Linked DNA regions of Coturnix japonica. The protein of the gene in region 1 purifies or fractionates together with the protein of each later gene. This does not show direct contact. Links are inferred from orthologs where the notes say so. Each region holds a gene or a part of one and is shown on either strand. Other genes may lie near its edges.

Region 1 (4,468 bases):
AATTCTGCTGGTTGTTGTTCCTCCAGGAAGGCAACTGTGTCATTCACAGGCTGCCCACTTGGTGAATAAAGTGTCCTCTGAATGTGAGATTAAATTATTAGTGAGACTGTAAGCATTCTTCCCACGGCATCTGCTGAGGCATCAACTACGGACTTTCATAGCTCACTCATCCTGCAAACAAATTAAGAGCGTACACTGGAAATGCCAATAGCCACAGAGCACTGCAGAACCAGCCAGGCCAACCTTTCCCTCTGCAGGCTGAGCAGTGCTGGGCAGGCTGCAGGCATTCACGGCTGGGCCCTTTGTGCCACACAGCAAAGTGCTCGAAGCAAAACCCATTAAGAAAACACATCCCACTGAGATGGAGATGCAGAGGTCTATGGATACTGTTGCAGCCTCAAAGCAGCTTCCAGCCTCTAGAAATCACTTGCTTAGGGGGTAGTTTGATGCAGTCTTCACGCTTAACAGCACCTCGTGCTTTTTCCTTCTGCGAGCGTGCTCGGGTGCTTTTTGATGCCCTGTGACCTCTTGGAACTTTAAAGCAGGAAATACTACTGTTCAATTAACTGCTGTGCATAGAGCCTCCTCCTCCCGACTGCTTTTAACCCGACACCTGCTAGTTTCGTTTGATGCTCTCTAGTTCTTACGCTAGAAAAGCAAGCAACGCATCCCTACTTTTCTCTACTACAGTCTCTGCAGCCTAAAAGACCCCAGACTGTGCAGTCACTGGGGCACCAGGGGCACTCCATGTTCTCAGTTGTCTTTGCTGCTCTCCCCTGAGCCTTTGCTGCTGCTCTGGGAGGTTGATGGGCTCCTGGTTGTGCTCTGTTCTGCAGCTCCACACCAGCTTCGTGACAACTGAGGGGCACCCAGCTGACCTTCCCCAGCGTGATGATGACTGAGCTGGGTGGATTCTCACACTGGTCACAGCTGGTGTAGGGGCGGCCTCCATCCTGCTTGGGGTCAGCACTGCCGGCTCAGTGCGCCACCATTTCCTACAGAGACCTCAAGCCCGTAAAGATTCAGCCTGAGTTTCCAGTTACCTGGTTTGGCTTTGTGGATACAGCTCACCCACCTGAACACGTGTGCAAGAATGTAAAGGTAATGTATAGACGTGCACATATGCAGGACAGGTGTGGATGCCACACACTGCATTTAAGCAGGACCTTTTACAATGAGTTATTCCTTATCTCCCACCGTGCTCGAGGCCTTTCCCTCATCATCTCTGGGCAGAGATGACGCACCCGGTCTCCCTTCAGCCATTCGCACCTCCTCGGCACGCAGACACTGAAGGCGGTTGGCAGAACCTGCCGCAGACCGAGAACTTTGGCGAAGCGATGCCGGCTCCTAAGCGCCGTGCTTAGCGCTCCTAGTCCCGCCCTGCTGTCCCCACACGGTTGCGGCCCACGGCTCCGAACGCCCCGCGGCTCCCGGCCCCGTCGGGACGTCGTGGCTCCGCTCGGGCCCCGTGTCCGTGGCTGCCGGGCGTGCTGCGGGCGGGCCGGGGCCGAGCCGCTTGATGACGGGCTCCGCAGCCCTGCCCCCGCCGCTGCGCGGCCGCCCGGCCCGGCGGGAGGCGGGGGGATTTCCAAGCGCCGGCGGCTCGCCGCTTCCTCTCCTTGTTTTGCTTTCGATCTGGACCTTTCGCGGCCCGGGCGGAGGGAGTAACTTTTAGTTTTGCTCCCGCGATTATTCAGCGCCTGTTTTCATTTCCATTTCGCGTCCCCTGGCAACGGCGGTAACCTTGAGGAATTATATAAGTGCCGCGAAGACGCTCCGGAAAGGTAACGAGCGCCCGTAGCCGTGTGATTTATTTCGTGTCTCATTTGTTGTTCTGCTCGTGCTGTTTTTTTACACCGGTACCGCCGTGGCGGTGCGCGCGTCCTGCGGGCAGAGCCCGGCCCTGGAGCGGGGCGGCTCAGAGCGGCACGGGGCGGCTCGGAGGCCGCGGTGCTGCCGGTGCTTGGGCGCGTCTGGCCGTGGGGACAAAGGAGCGGGCACGGGAGCACCGAGCGCGGCCCCGGCGCCGGAGGAGGCCGCGGGCCCGGGCGGGGCGTTGGGCTGCGAGCGGGCCTCGCTCGGATCCCCCCGGCCGCGCGGCGCCCCTTGCCCCGCACTTGTTGCCGCGGCCGTTGGCGTGGGCGCGGCCCGGCCGGAGCGGGCCGAGGGGCTGCGGGAAGGGCCGCGGCGGGGAGCGCTGCTCGGCCCCTCCCGGCCGTTACACAAGCGGCGGCCGCGCCTCCCCCGCCCCCCACCCTCCGCCGCGGTGACGCCCAGCGGCGGGCGGTGCGACCCGCGCGGCGGCCTCCGCTCCGACCGACCGGCCGGCAGCTCCGAGCGTGTTAGCCTCACTGCCGCCTCACTGCCGCCTCGCTGCCGCCGGGCCCGGGCGGAGCGGACGGCCTCGGCCATGGTCGCCGAGGATGGTGGTTCGGGCCGAGAGGCCGCGGGGCCCAGGGCCGCTCCCCGGCGCTCGGATGGCCTGTAAATATCCGGCGGAGAAACGCGGCTGTGGGGAGCGGGCGCTCGTCATTTTAGTACGCGGTGGGAACGAGCTGCGGGCCGGTATCGGCGGCACCTAACGGAGATGGAGCTGGAACGGCGCTCCCCGTCCGATCCGGCAGCAGCAGCGGCCTTTTGTTTATACGGGGCGCTGTCACGTTGCTCCCGTTCGGCTCTCGTGCCCTGCCGGGAGGGAGGCGGCGAGAGAAGGGCCCAGAGCCGGACAGCTTCCCGAATAGAAGTCGGGAGCCGGAGTTCTGTTTGCACTGCAGCGCCGAGCTGTGTCTGGGCACACGGCCGGGATCCAGGCTCTGCAATGAACGACTGCCTCGCCCAGCAGGGCCGGATCCCAGCGGCGTTCAGCTCCTTATATCCCTCTGAGCACCAGACGCAGCAGGGAGTTTCAGGCTGAGCTGTTTATACGCTGAGCTCCCATTAATGTGATTCTATCGATTTCATTTTCAGCACCCAGAACGCTGCTCCTATACATCTGTCATTTATACTGTGCTCAGGTCTTCTGGACAGCGATCTGTTGCACACAGGAGCTCTTGTAAAGCAGAACCAGAGATGAGATACTTCATGTTTAAGATGCTAGTTACTAAATCTAATTAGATTTGCATGTAGTATCCTTTAGCAGTACCAAATAAAGAGAGTTGAAAGTAGCACCGAAATTTGAATTCACGCTGGTGCGGAAATGGTGACACAATTATAAAACTAGCACAAGTGGTCGGGGAGGCAGATGGTTTCTGTCTGAATCACAGCCTTTCCGTGCCACTGACCCCTTCTGAGGCTTCACTGTCCCATAGTGGTGGTGTCTGTCAGAGGCATTGCTCCATGTGCCCCCAGCATGCTGTGGCTTCTTCTTGCTGACAGAACACAGTGTGGTTAGCACGAGTGTGCAGTGAGTCCTTTGGCACGGCATTGCTTCACTGAGGCTCTATTCCATGCGTTTGGCTTGTTACAGGCACAGCCAGGTAACCTTGTGGGGTGGATCATGCTGCATAGAAAGGGGTAACTAGGAGGTTTGAGAAGTAAAATATTGCTGTTAGACAGGGGGTAAGGATCCAAATCTCCGCTGTGTGGAGGCCTGCAGATGTCTGTGGCGTCAGAAAAGCAGTCTTAATGAGACTTAATGAGAAGATGGGTGCTAAGATTCAAGAGGAACTGGAAATATATTCAGAATAGAAGGAGCCTGCATTAGGAAAACAGATTTATCTAGATAGATCCATGTGTGCCTAAAGCTGAAGTGTACACTTATGTATGTGTAATATGCATGTGTAAAAATAAAAGTTTTAAACCAAAACTGAGGAAAACTTATAGGTGAAGAATGGAGGCATATAGGTGAAGAATGTGAAGTTTGCTATGAGATAGCCTCTGTTTGGAGAGGGCCATCCTTGTGGCATTAACAATGCTGTTAATACATCTCCGGGATACAGTACTTGGAGTATCAGAAGCAGTGGAAGCTCAGATACTGTAGTGACAGAGCCTACAGGTGGCCTAAGGATGGGATAGCATCTATGTGCACGACGGGTGCTGGTTGTTAAAGGCCGCCTGTGACAGGAAATAGCACAGGACCTCGTGAATTGGTGCTCCTGGCCTAAATAGGAAGAGCGTAGATGAAGGCTGCGTGGTTCAAGGTGTTGACTGGCTGTCATATGTTAAAGTAGAGCAGAGAAGCGTTGTTTCAGGAGCAGTAAAACCAGGGGCGTCTGTGGGTAATTCTCCATAGTAGATCTTCATGAAAGAAGAAAACAGTTTCTAAGGGGGAGAGGCACTCAGAAGTGTAAAATACTTGCAGGTGGCATGTAATTCTTCAAAGGCAGCATAACAGAGGCTCAAAGCACTTGCATGGCATCTGCCAGCAATACCACAAGAGCTGAAGAAGCCAGAAAGCAAAGTGGAGTGGTTCAGCAGAGGTAAAAAGACATCTTTCAGCAAGTTAATGTTTTGTGCTCAGTGAGAAGGA
Region 2 (4,449 bases), on another chromosome or scaffold:
TCTCGTGCGAAGATCGGCACGGGGCGGGACGAGGGCAGGACGGGGGGCCGACCTCGCGTGAGCTGCGGCGAGCGGAGGTGACCCGCTCGGTCAGGGGGAGGCGTGCGGGAGCTCAGCCCGGCGGCTGCCGGGAGCGCGTCCTGCCCGTGTGCGGGGGCTGCGGGCTGCGGGCTCACAGCTCCGTGTGGATCAACGCGTTACAGCTCAGCTCCTCGGGGAGCCGGATCCGCGCCGCCAGCCCCGTGTGCGCGTCTCGTGAAGCTTCTCCTTTAACACAGCTCCCCTCACACACGTTTCAAATTCGTTTGCCAGCTTCGTATATTATAACCGGACGCATATAAACCGCTTTAGATAACTAAAAATGGAAATGAGACGCAGTGGCGATACGAAAGGAATTATTTAAAGGAACAACTTTTCGTCACGTGAGCCGTGGAACGTTATTAGCCGGGCACGAGGCAGCTTTGTGCTCGGGTCTCAGGCGCCAGTCAGCGGCCGCGCGTACGGGAGCGTGCGCTCGCACGCATCGCTGTCCGGCCCCGGCGCAGCCCCACAAATCCCGCAGCGCAGCGCAGCGCGTTGCCGCGCCCCCAGCGCGGTTCGGGGGCAGCTCCGCGGCCGCCCGGCGCGGCGGTGGCTCCCGGGTCGCGCTGACGCGGCGGGGGCGCCGTGCCCCTCGCGAGCCGCGGGCCGCGCCCGTGACGCAACCGCGCTCCCGGCACGAGCGGCGCCGCTTCGCGCGACTCCGGCGTCCGCCGCGCCGCTCCGCCCACGGAGCTCGGCGGGGAAGGGCCGGCCCCGTTTGTGTTTCGCTTTCCCCCCGCCGTTAACGTTCCGCTTCTTCGCGTGGAGCGGAGTCGATGCGAGCGCTCTGCCCGGTGGCGGCGTTACGCGAGCATCGGCGGCCGGTTAAAGGGGCAAACGGCCGCGCGTTTCGACGGCGCGGGGGCAATCCTCGTCCTCCCCGCGTGAGCATCTCGGCGGTCCCTCGCCCGCCGCCCCGCCTTACACGGCACCGCGGGGTCGCACACGCGGCGCCGCCGGGGCACGCGGGACCCCTCCGGCAGAGCGCCGGGCGCCGGCGGCCTCACGCCCGGCAAACGAGAGTGAACCGAGAAGGCGCGGCCCCGGAGCGGCGCGCACGCACGCGGCCGCGGCGCGGAGAGGCGCTCCCCGCCGCCGTACCCCGCGGCCGGGCAGGGCGCCGGGCATGCGTGCTACGCGCAACAAGTGGATGCGCGGCGCGGGCGGAGGAAGGCGGCGGGGGAGCGGGGCGCGGAGCCGGGTCGTGACGCGGGGCCCCGCCCGGGCGAGCCGCCCCGCCCCGCGCCGAGCCGGGCAGGGCTGAGCCATGCTGGGCTGAGCCATGCTGAGCGGAGCCGGGCGCGCGGAGGAGGGGCGGCGCGGGGGGAGCGCGGCGCGGCGCGGAGGAGGGGGCGCGCGGGCACGGCGGCGGCGGCGCGCGGTAGCGCGCTCGGACTGCGAGACGGCGGCGAGGATGTGAGTGAGGAGCAGGCGGCGCCGCTCGCCACGCTGCTGCCGCTCCGCCGCCGCTCGAGGAAGTCGCGGCGCTCCGCCCGGGTGCCTCTCGTCGGCGGGACGGATCGGATCGGTTCGGCTCGGATCGGCGCGTAGGGAACGGAGCGCGAGCTCGGCGGGCGGCCGCGGCGGGTGGAAGGTGACCCCCTCCCCCCCCCCCCCCCCCCCCCCCCCCCCCCCCCCCCCCCCCGTCTTCCTCCGAGCACCTCCGCCTCCTCCCGGAGGAGGAGCAGCGCCGGAGAGGCAGAGAGCGCCGGGAAACAGACGCGGCGAGAAGGCGACCCCCGCCCAGCCCCCCGCGGCAGCGGCAGACGCCGATCCCCTCCCCGCCGGGGCAGCAGCGCCGGGAGCGGGCGGCGGCGGCCGTCCCCGGCTAACAGCGGGCGAGCCTCGGCCGCGAGCGGCGCCCGGAGCGGGTACGGACGCTCTTTCCAGCTCCGGCCCGCGGGGGAAGAGCGAGGCGGCCCCGACAGCGGCGGCGTCGGCTCCCCGGCCAGCGGCACCATGTCCGCCGCGCAGGTGTCGTCGTCCCGGCGGCAGTCGTGCTACCTGTGCGACCTGCCCCGCATGCCCTGGGCCATGATTTGGGACTTCACGGAGCCCGTCTGCCGCGGCTGCGTCAACTACGAGGGAGCCGACCGTATCGAGTTCGTTATAGAGACGGCGCGGCAGCTGAAGCGGGCGCACGGCTGCTTCCAGGACGGCCGTTCCCCGGGCCCCCCGCCGCCCGTCGGCGTCAAAGCGGTGCCGCTCTCGGCCAAGGAGGCGGCGGCGGCGGCCGCGGCGGCCCAGCAGCAGCTCAACCATGTGGACGCGTCCTCCAAGGCGGCTTCGGGGCTCTCCCAGTCGGGCCTGGAACGCTACGGGCTGAGCGCGGCGGCGGCCGAGCAGCGCGGCCGCTTCGAGTACCCGCCTCCTCCGGGCAGCCTGGGCGGCGGCCACGGCGCCCGCCTGCCCAACGGGCTCGGGGGGCCCAACGGCTTCCCCAAGGCGCCCGAGGACGGCCCGCCGGAGCTCAACCGCCAGAGCCCCAACTCGTCGTCGTCGTCGTCCTCCTCCCGCCGCGGCGCGCACGGCGGGCTGGTGTCCGGCCTGCCCCCGGGGGCGGCGGGCGCGCAGCTCAACGTTCCCCCCAACCTGCTGCCGCAGACCCTGCTCAACGGGCCCGCCGCCTCCGGCGTGGCGCTGCCTCCGCCGCACGGGGGCCTGAGCGGCCGCGGCGGCGGCGGCCCCCAGGCGCCCTCCGCCTCCTCCCAGGCGGGTGCGTGCGGCGGCGGCGGCGGCGCCGGGGGAGGCGGCGGCCCGGCCCCGGAGGGCTGCGGCAAGCGGCCGGGCTCGGTGTCCAGCAGCGACCAGGAGCGCGAGCTGAAGGAGAAGCAGCGCAACGCCGAGGCGCTGGCCGAGCTGAGCGAAAGCCTGCGGAACCGGGCCGAGGAGTGGGCCAGCAAGCCCAAGATTGTGCGGGACACGCTGCTGACGCTGGCCGGCTGCACGCCCTACGAGGTGCGCTTCAAGAAGGATCACGCCCTGCTCGGCCGCGTTTTCGCCTTCGACGCCGTCTCCAAACCGGGCATGGACTATGAGCTGAAGCTCTTCATCGAGTACCCCAGCGGCTCCGGCACGGTCTTTTCCAGCGCCTCCGGCGTGGCCAAGCAGATGTACCAGGACTGCATGAAGGACTTCGGCCGCGGCCTCTCCTCGGGCTTCAAGTACCTGGAGTACGAGAAGAAGCACGGCTCCGGCGACTGGCGGTTGCTGGGGGACCTGCTGCCCGAGTCCGTGCGCTTTTTCAAGGAGCTGGTGGGCGCCGACATGCTGCCGCAGCCGTACCTGGACGCCAGCTGCCCCATGCTGCCCACGGCGCTGGTGAGCCTCCCGCGGCCGGGGGCCGGCGCCGGCGGGACTCAGGGCGCGGCCGCAGCCTCCCGGGGCCCGGGCGGCGGCGGCGGCGGCGGGAGCGGGGCCATGCGCAAGAGGAAGGCGTCCCCCGAGCCCTCGGACTCGGCCGAGGGGGCCCTGAAGCTGAGCGACGAGCAGCAGCGGCAGCAGTGGATGGCCAGTCAGAGCGAAGCCCTCAAGCTCACCATGTCGGCCGGGGGCTTCGGGGCGGTGCACGGCGGGGGCCCCCCGCCGCCGCCACCGCCGCCCCTCGGGCCCCACTCCAACAGGACCACGCCGCCCGAGTCCGCCCCCCAGAACGGACAGTCCCCCATGGCCGCGCTCATGTCGGTGGCCGACACGCTGGGCAATGCCCACTCGCCCAAGGACGGCAGCTCGGTGCACTCCACCACTTCTACCCGCAGGAACAGCAGCAGCCCCGTGTCGCCGGCCTCCGTGCCGGGCCAGCGCCGCCTGGCCTCCCGCAACGGGGACATGAACCTGCAAGTGGCCCCTCCTCCCCCCAGCGCCCACCCCGCCATGGACCAAGTGCACCCCCAAAACATTCCGGACTCCCCCATGGCCAACAGCGGGCCCCTGTGCTGCACCATTTGCCACGAACGCTTGGAGGACACCCACTTTGTTCAGTGCCCTTCGGTGCCCAGCCACAAGTTCTGCTTCCCCTGTTCCAGAGAGAGCATCAAGGCCCAGGGGGCGACCGGCGAGGTCTACTGCCCCAGCGGAGAGAAATGTCCCCTCGTAGGTTCCAATGTGCCTTGGGCGTTTATGCAGGGCGAGATCGCTACCATCCTAGCCGGGGACGTTAAAGTGAAAAAGGAGAGAGACCCTTGAGTAGGAAATCCGATCCCTTCAGGCTCCTGAAGATGTAGAATTGTGAATATAACGAACTGCAAAAGTTAGTCTTATGTATAGACATTATTTTCGTCGTATGTTTCTATATTTTGAAACAAAGGTATGTACTCTTCTTCATTTGAAGGATAGAGCTGGTTTTTGTTAAACAGAATATAATATTGT

What was found.
Region 2: the proteins of IRF2 (region 1) and IRF2BPL purify together in Homo sapiens (affinity purification with mass spectrometry; 3 studies listed by BioGRID and IntAct, counting the BioPlex papers as one, with this or other methods). This does not show direct contact. The link is inferred for Coturnix japonica from reciprocal best matches to the Homo sapiens genes IRF2 and IRF2BPL.

Annotation. Positions count from the first base shown.
Region 1 is NC_029519.1:34,979,663-34,984,130, forward strand, and holds the start of IRF2 (interferon regulatory factor 2), read left to right. Parts: upstream 1-1,539; 5' UTR 1,540-1,784; intron 1,785-2,379; exon of another isoform or gene 2,380-2,484; intron 2,485-3,530; exon of another isoform or gene 3,531-4,468. UniProt on the Homo sapiens protein: Specifically binds to the upstream regulatory region of type I IFN and IFN-inducible MHC class I genes (the interferon consensus sequence (ICS)) and represses those genes. Also acts as an activator for several genes including H4 and IL7.
Region 2 is NC_029520.1:35,383,743-35,388,191, reverse strand, and holds the start of IRF2BPL (probable E3 ubiquitin-protein ligase IRF2BPL), read left to right. Parts: upstream 1-1,428; 5' UTR 1,429-2,040; coding exon 2,041-4,266; 3' UTR 4,267-4,449. UniProt on the Homo sapiens protein: Probable E3 ubiquitin protein ligase involved in the proteasome-mediated ubiquitin-dependent degradation of target proteins. Through the degradation of CTNNB1, functions downstream of FOXF2 to negatively regulate the Wnt signaling pathway.